2 linked regions of the Xenopus tropicalis genome follow. Each later gene encodes a partner of the first gene's protein in a complex. Links are inferred from orthologs where the notes say so. Each region holds a gene or a part of one and is shown on either strand. Other genes may lie near its edges.

The links. Proteins that work in one complex are often made in the same cells at the same time.
Region 2: the proteins of smarcad1 (region 1) and trim28 are in contact, whole or in part, in a crystal structure (PDB 6H3A), measured with the Homo sapiens proteins. The link is inferred for Xenopus tropicalis from reciprocal best matches to the Homo sapiens genes SMARCAD1 and TRIM28. Residues at the interface, in NP_001362784.1 of Homo sapiens: Asp156, Leu157, Ala160, Lys161, Gln163, Thr164, Glu167, Leu168, Phe169, Asp188, Gly189, Ala190, Ala192, Leu196, Ala201, Gly202, Gly203; in NP_005753.1 of Homo sapiens: Arg330, Trp333, Thr334, Lys337, Ile338, His341, Leu376, Lys377, Ile379, Val380, Asp381, Val383.

Annotation. Positions count from the first base shown.
Region 1 is NC_030677.2:76,745,647-76,749,146, reverse strand, and holds part of smarcad1 (SWI/SNF-related matrix-associated actin-dependent regulator of chromatin subfamily A containing DEAD/H box 1), read left to right. Parts: intron 1-326; coding exon 327-464; intron 465-2,137; coding exon 2,138-2,233; intron 2,234-3,500. UniProt on the Homo sapiens protein: DNA helicase that possesses intrinsic ATP-dependent nucleosome-remodeling activity and is both required for DNA repair and heterochromatin organization.
Region 2 is NC_030683.2:102,982,530-102,986,616, reverse strand, and holds the start of trim28 (transcription intermediary factor 1-beta), read right to left. Parts: upstream 2,801-4,087; 5' UTR 2,560-2,800; coding exon 2,322-2,559; intron 1-2,321. UniProt on the Homo sapiens protein: Nuclear corepressor for KRAB domain-containing zinc finger proteins (KRAB-ZFPs).

The sequences.
Region 1 (3,500 bases):
AAAAGACTAAATAAAAGTAAATGGGTTATTTTGAAATTAAAGGGATTGGTAACATTGTTTGCAGGTGTGAGTGTATTTTCTGTGGTTTAACAGTTCTGGGAATGCTATTTTATACAGTAAGAAAGATTGGCATTCACAAAATCAGCATTGCCTCCTCGAAAATACTCTGGTGGATGGAGTAAACATTTGTCATTTTTATTTTAGAATAAAATCACTGTTAAGCACAAAAATATAATGTGCTTAAAATTTTTATTGATTGTACCTTTTTTCCATTTATATGACAGTTTTCCTGTAAAACTAAACTTTGTTTTCTCTCCTAAATGCAGGCCAGGAGTCGCTTGCTTCTGACTGGAACTCCAGTGCAGAACAACCTATTAGAACTCATGTCCCTACTAAACTTTGTAATGCCACACATGTTCAGCAGCAGCACCAGCGAGATCAAGAGGTTGTTTTCTTCTAAAGCGGTAACTAAGATTTCATGTTCAACTGTTCCCCTTAAATTCACCTCTTCCACTAAGCTTATATAATAACTTTCTAATTTTTTTAGCAGCACTACTATTTTAGTTAGTATTTTAATGTAACATTAGTATTTCTCCAACATAAATGTCCCAACAGAGCTATGTATTTATAAGAGACCCCCCCCCATACATACCATAGGCCTCATGTCCCTGTAGCTGATCGCTACCTTTTTTTTACTTTTTCTGTAAGTATTTTCAGAGCACTCACCGATGTTTGTAAGCGCTCTTTATATTGTATTGCGGCCGCCATGTTGGATATTTAAATTTAGTCCAACATGACGCCGCGTAAGTAAATGCGCATCTTCTCCCTCCCCTAGACTTGGGTACTCCTGCTTGTGAGATTGAAAGGTAAATGCACATGCGCTTACTCTGGAGCTGGTCTTCTTATCTCCTGCACCGATTCGAAGACCAGCTCCAGAGTATTATGGGAATCTTTACACAGCTCAGCGTTTTTTCTTCCTGTTTGGCTTCTGATCATCTGAACAGGCGAAATATGGGGAGACTTAAGGGCACTATTGAGATAACTGAAGGTATGCCTGCAGTTTGAGATTAACTTTTTATTAGCCTTTCCTTCTCCTTTAAAATCTGTTGAAAAATCTGCAAAATAAGTCCATATTACACCACCTGCCAAGATCACTCAAAAGGTTCTTTGTAACTTTAGAACTTATTATAGTTACATAGCAATATTAACAAAAAAAGAGCAACCTTGTAGAATGATACCAGTAATCACTAAGGCCTAAAGGTAACATTTGTAGCAAAATGAACTAATCCAGGAAGAGTCACTTGTCCCTGAAGTACTGCACAATTCATCATTCATATTTTATATCTGCAGAAAAAAAATATACATAATTAACAATTACCCTAATACCACCACAAGATCATAAAAGGCAAGACATAGTAAAATCCTCATTTAGACCTCTAGGATGTTTAGTTTTTAGGGCCCAAATCCAATAACATTCCTTTCGTAATAAAATTCTCTTAGTATCCTGTCCCTCCCTTACTTTAATTTGTTCCAATTTTTACCATCTAAGTTGCGAGATCTGATGACCACATTCAAAAAAATTATTGGCCAGGCTTGTTTCTCTTTTTCTCCTTCGCCCGCGACAAATCTCCCCGGATTGCCATCCCACTGGTGAAAATGTAAGTCGCCGATGGGATGGCACACGCTGCGCAGGCGATTTCGTCAAATTGCTGAAAATGCCTCACGAGGCAACTTCGGCGATTTGCCGAAATCGCCTGCACAGCATGTGCCATCCCACTGGCGACTTACGTTTTCACGGGGCGACTAATCTCCCTGTGTGCCAGAGCCCTTAACCAGTTCTTTTTCCTTCTCTTTTTCTGTTTTCACATTTAGTGAAAACCTGTTAACTGATTGATTGTCTGGCTTATAATGTAATCATTTTACTGTGGTGTTTTAACCACCTTTTATATAATCTTATTTCACAATTTTATAAATACAGTGCTGCCTATGTGGAACACTGAGTGGAAATGAATAATTTCCTGGTAAACCTGAAGGTGGCAGTGTTTCTAATGGTGATCTATCACCACTGCTTGTGTCTCAGTATTCCTACATACAAATTAACACTTTGCCCTTTATTCCTACTTACATTTTATTTTAGAAATCCACCGATGAGCAAACTATATTTGAAAAGGAGAGAATTGCTCACGCCAAGCAGATTATGAAGCCATTTATACTGAGAAGAGTGAAAAGTGAGGTAATAGAAAATACAGGATATGATTTATATGACATATACATGCATTGATTGTAAGGTGAATGCAAGATGATTTCAACACCTAACATTAAGCAGCCTGAAGTGTTCATCATTTCAATGTGTTGTAACGCCAAACAACGCAACATACAGTAGACTGTAATCATGCACAGTTTAAGATTGAAACATCAAGCTGATGGGTTCTTATCCCATTGAGCAGTTTTTATAAATATTTAAATTAGACAGGGGTAATGTCCTATTTTGTTTTGCAATACCATGATATTGCAGGAAGGTAGCAGCTTGTTAGAGTTCTTACACAAACAATGGTCTGTTTTTGAGAATTTTAGTTATTATGCATCACATAATATTGCAGAGGTTATAAACACAATGAGGCCCTGCTATTAATTATAATTTCATTACAAGAAGCCAGAAGGCAATGTAGTTTAGCAGGCCAGGGGGGAATAGTATCAAATCATTGAGACCAGGTGAACAGAGCTATAAATAGTCCTTTCATAAAAGGGTCAGAGCCATAACATACTGACAGTACCAGACATAGGTGACACTACCTTAGTTTGTGAGACTCTTTAAGGCAGTCTTCCCCAACCAGTGATCCCTGAGCAACATGTTCCTCACCAACCCCTTGGATGTAGCTCCAGTGGCCTCGAAGCAGGTGCTCATTTTTTAATTTCTGGTAAGAAGGCTAGTATTGGTTGCATAAAAACAAGTATGATGCCAAACAGAGCCTTGTGTAGGCTGCCAGTCAGCTTAGGGGCTATTAAGTAGCCAATTATGGCTCTACTTGTCACCCCCATGAACCTTTTTTTCATGCTTGTGTTGCTCCCTAACACTTTTTCCATTTGAATGTGGCTCACTGGTATAAAAGGTTGGGGATCCCTGCTTTAAGGTAATTAGCAAATTAGAAAAACTGTCAAGTATTTTGGGAATTGTCTGATTCTCTTTAAAAAAAAAAGTCACTGATTTGGTGTGCCGTTTGCCCTACAGCCACACTGTTAGCAATACAAATATTTGTTAAGCATAAGATTCCAGACTGTCATCATTACTCAGCAATTCTGAACAGTTCACTTCCTTGTTCTTCCACACCTGATCCCATGTACTTTACACCATTCAAATTTTCTATATTAAATGTTCTTTAGTCAAATGGCTGTTGTATCTATCGTGAGTCTATCATTGTAATTCAAATAGGTCTACAATTAAACATATCCTTAGCAGGGCTATATAGAATAAATATCTACATTAAATAGTAGTAATTTCT
Region 2 (4,087 bases), on another chromosome or scaffold:
ATGAAAGTTTAGCAAAAACTGAGGGATATTTTCTGCAAGTCACCCTTTAACTTAAAATCAGGAAAAAGACAGTTTGACATTTCTGTCAGAATTGCAATGGTCTATGGACTTCTTGCATGCTGCGTCTCACCCATATATGATCAAGCCTCTTGTGACTGCTACACAACGAGGAGTATTAAAACCCAAAAAACTTTTTTTTGCAAACTGGAAAAAAAAAAAATCTAAATAACTAGAAATATATATTACACATTTTTTAACGATGGTTTTAATGTTATTTGTAAATGTAATTGTAGTTTAAAGAATCAACTGTGGTTATTAAATTGCCCAAAGTTTCCTAGCAAGGAAACCCTTTCGTTAAACCAAAGCAACACGTATGCACGGGATGGCAAGTCGGGGAGACTTATCTCCCACAGTGCCATCCCACAGGCTAGAATGTAAATCGCCGGTGGGATGGCATACGTGTCACTGCAATGTCCCAAAGTCGCATGAAGTTTCCTGTCATGACAACTTCAGGACATCTCAGTGACTCGTATGCCATCCCACCGGTGATTTATATTCTAGCCAGTGGGATGGCATTGCGGGGGAGATTAGTTGCCTGCGACAACGAAGATTTGACACGGGGCGACTAATCTCCCCGTCGGTCACTGCCCTAAGGGTGAAGACACACTGAGCTACTAGTAGCAGCTACTTGTCACAGCTACTAAACTTCAAAAAAACCCCTGCCATAGAAAAAAATGAGAATTGCCTTTACTAAGGGCAGTGGCAAACTGGGACATTAGTCGCTTGCGACAAATCTTCGTGCGACTAATCTTCCAGCAATGCCATCCCACTGACTAGAACGTAAATCGCTGGTGGGATGGCATACGAGTCGCTATGATTTGCCGAAGTCACCCAAAGTTTCCTCTCAAGGACTAATCTCTCCATCTGTCACTGCCCTTAAACACACGTAAAGACGATTATCAGTAAATTATCAGCATTGTCTATTTCAGTAGCCACGACAAGTAGCTGCTACTAGTAGCTCTGTGTGTAGTAGCTAGCAGCTGTGTGTTCACCCTAAGGGCTCTGGCACACAGGGAGATTAGTCGCCCGCGACAAAACTCCCTGTTCGTGGGCGACTAATCTCCCCGAGTTGCCTTCCCCTGCCCACATGCGGTGGCGCGTTTTCACACAAATCGCCGAAAAACCCTCGCGAGGCAACTTCGTCGATTTGCGCAAAATCGCGCTGCCGCGTGTGCCATCCCACCAGTGACTTACATTTTCGTTGGTGGGATGGCAGGGGAAGGCAACTCGGGGGGATTAGTTGCCCGCGAACAAGGAGTTTTGTCGCGGGCGACTAATCTCCCCGTGTGCCAGAGCCCTAAGGGCTGTGACACATGGGGAGATTGGTCGCCTGCGACATCCCACCGGCTAGAATGTTAATCGCCAGTGGGGTGGCATATGCGGCACCGCGATTTGCCGAAGTTTCCTCTCATGCCGGGAGCAGACAGGGCGCCATGCCGGGAGCAGACAGGGCGCCATGCCGGGAGCAGACAGGGCGCCATGCCGGGAGCAGACAGGGCGCCATGCCGGGAGCAGACAGGGCGCCATGCCGGGAGCAGACAGGGCGCCATGCCGGGAGCAGACAGGGCGCCATGCCGGGAGCAGACAGGGCGCCATGCCGGGAGCAGACAGGGCGCCATGCCGGGAGCAGACAGGGCGCCATGCCGGGAGCAGACAGGGCGCCATGCCGGGAGCAGACAGGGCGCCATGCCGGGAGCAGACAGGGCGCCATGCCGGGAGCACTCAGGGCGCCATGCCGGGAGCACTCAGGGCGCCATGCCGGGAGCACTCAGGGCGCCATGCCGGGAGCAGACAGGGCGCCATGCCGGGAGCAGACAGGGCGCCATGCCGGGAACAGACAGGGTGCCATGTTGGGAGCAGACAGGGTGCCATGTTGGGAGCAGACAGGGTGCCATGTTGGGAGCAGACAGGGTGCCATGTTGGGAGCAGACAGGGTGCCATGTTGAGAGCAGACAGGGTGCCATGCCGGGAGCAGACAGGGTGCCATGCCGGGAGCAGACAGGGTGCCATGCCGGGAGCAGACAGGGTGCCATGCCGGGAGCAGACAGGGTGCACACAGTAAGCTGGCACCGTGCATGGCCTGGCATTCCCCTGGGCACCAAGGCAGCTCTTTGTTCAGATATTGAGCATGGTGGGCCGGAAACTGAGGCTTAGAACCCGGGTCCCCTTCCCACACTGACACCACACGGAAGGTGGGCGGCAACATGAGCCGCACATTCAGAGCAGGAGAGCTGCAGGCCTCCCGCCTCTTTCTTTCATACCTGAAGCCAAGTCTCCGCTGTTAGTGGCCACCTCAGGCGCAGGGGTCTCTGGCGGAAGGCAGGCCCGGCACACGGAGTGCAGGCACGGTAAGAGCTGGGGCTCCGTGTCCGCCCGTAACTGCTTCTTGCACACCCCGCAGCTCTCCAGTAGCTCCTGCCCGTCGGGCTCCCCGCTGCCTCCGTTGCCATTGTCGGTGCTCAGGACACTCCGCTTGTCACGCGTTGCAGCTACCGACATGTTGGGGGTGTTTTTCTTTCCCTTTGTGAGGAGCCTGCGCAAGAGAAGACTTTCCCGCCTCTTCCGAGAGACTCTATTGTTCTGCTGGCTCCCGCGGCCTGCCTGCCTGCTGTACCGAACTATCGCGCAAACAGCGGATGGATACGCACGCACGGACGGGACGTCCCCAACAGCAAAGCGCCGAAATCCTAGCGGAGCGATCGATTCAAAAAGTGCATGCCCACTAAGTGTGATGTCAGGAATGGGCGGGGCATGGACTTGCTGAGTGTCTTAGTAAAGTGCAGTTAAATAAGAATTACATTTTATTTGTTTTGTGTGATCTACTCCAGTGTTTTGTTTTTTTTTACTAAGGGGGATTATTTCTTATATGTCTGTGCTGATTTGGGCCATTAGCAAAGCTTTATTAGCCGGTAGAGCAGTGGTTGTCAAACTTTTTGTTCAGGCCCCCCTGATTCCTGAGACAGAAATAGGAAAATATTGGTGGATCAGTCATTCAGGCATAGATCAAAGAATATCTTGCCCTCAACCCTGGGCAATAGTTTCCACACATTTAGATAATTACTTGACTTACCAATCAAATGATTATTTTGTATGCAATATGAATAAGTGCTTGACTTTCCCTAGATTCCTCAGGCTGCAGGGTTCTAAAGCAATAATTAGAGATTTAGAGAAGAAACATTGGTCATGCCTCATTCTCTCATATAAAGATAGCTAATATACTTGTAACCCTATTTTGGCTACTATGGTACTTTTAACACGCAAATCACCTGCGTGTGGCGCTACAGGAGCCCTGAGCCCCCGCTTATCTATGGGGGAGAGGTATGATCTAAATAAATGGCGTGCCTTCACCCAGGGTAGGTATAGGTAGAACTATATATCTCCTCCCTGGGAAAACTCTATGATGTCCTCCTTGGACCAGGATTCCCAGCAACTCCCGGTACCTTGCCCCTCCCTTGGGGTAGCTGCTTACCAGACAGTTGAGGATCCTCAGTATATGAACAGCCAAGACACTGGTTAAAATGATGAACCAGATGAACTTGCTTTATTGTTGATGCAGGCAGAACACTTCAGAGGATGTCACACAGATGGCTCAAGTCACACACTCTCTCTTTTGGCTACCCCCGGTACTCCCACCAGGTGATCCCACCTAGGAACTCACCCCGGTCCACGCGTAGGGCCCCTTCACTGGGAACACTCCCAGGTGCTGACTTGGCTCCTCTTACTAAACACTACAGGACCTGGACTCCAGCCATGAATGCTGGGGGGTCTTAACCCTTCTCTCTCCTTTTGGGGCTATCTCTGCCCATTCTCTCTAGCCTGCCTGTCACTCTTAGAGTGACCTATTACAGTACCTCCTGTACTAGAACACTATCCTGTTGTACACCTCCTAACAGAGGCAGTCCCAGGACTAAGACCTAACAGAACATGTCTGCATGCCCTTTTATATTGCAGCACACTGCCACTTAGTGGTTGCTGCTGAATAACAAGGAAACTCCCTTTTAGCACATAAACACACAGGACCACCTTT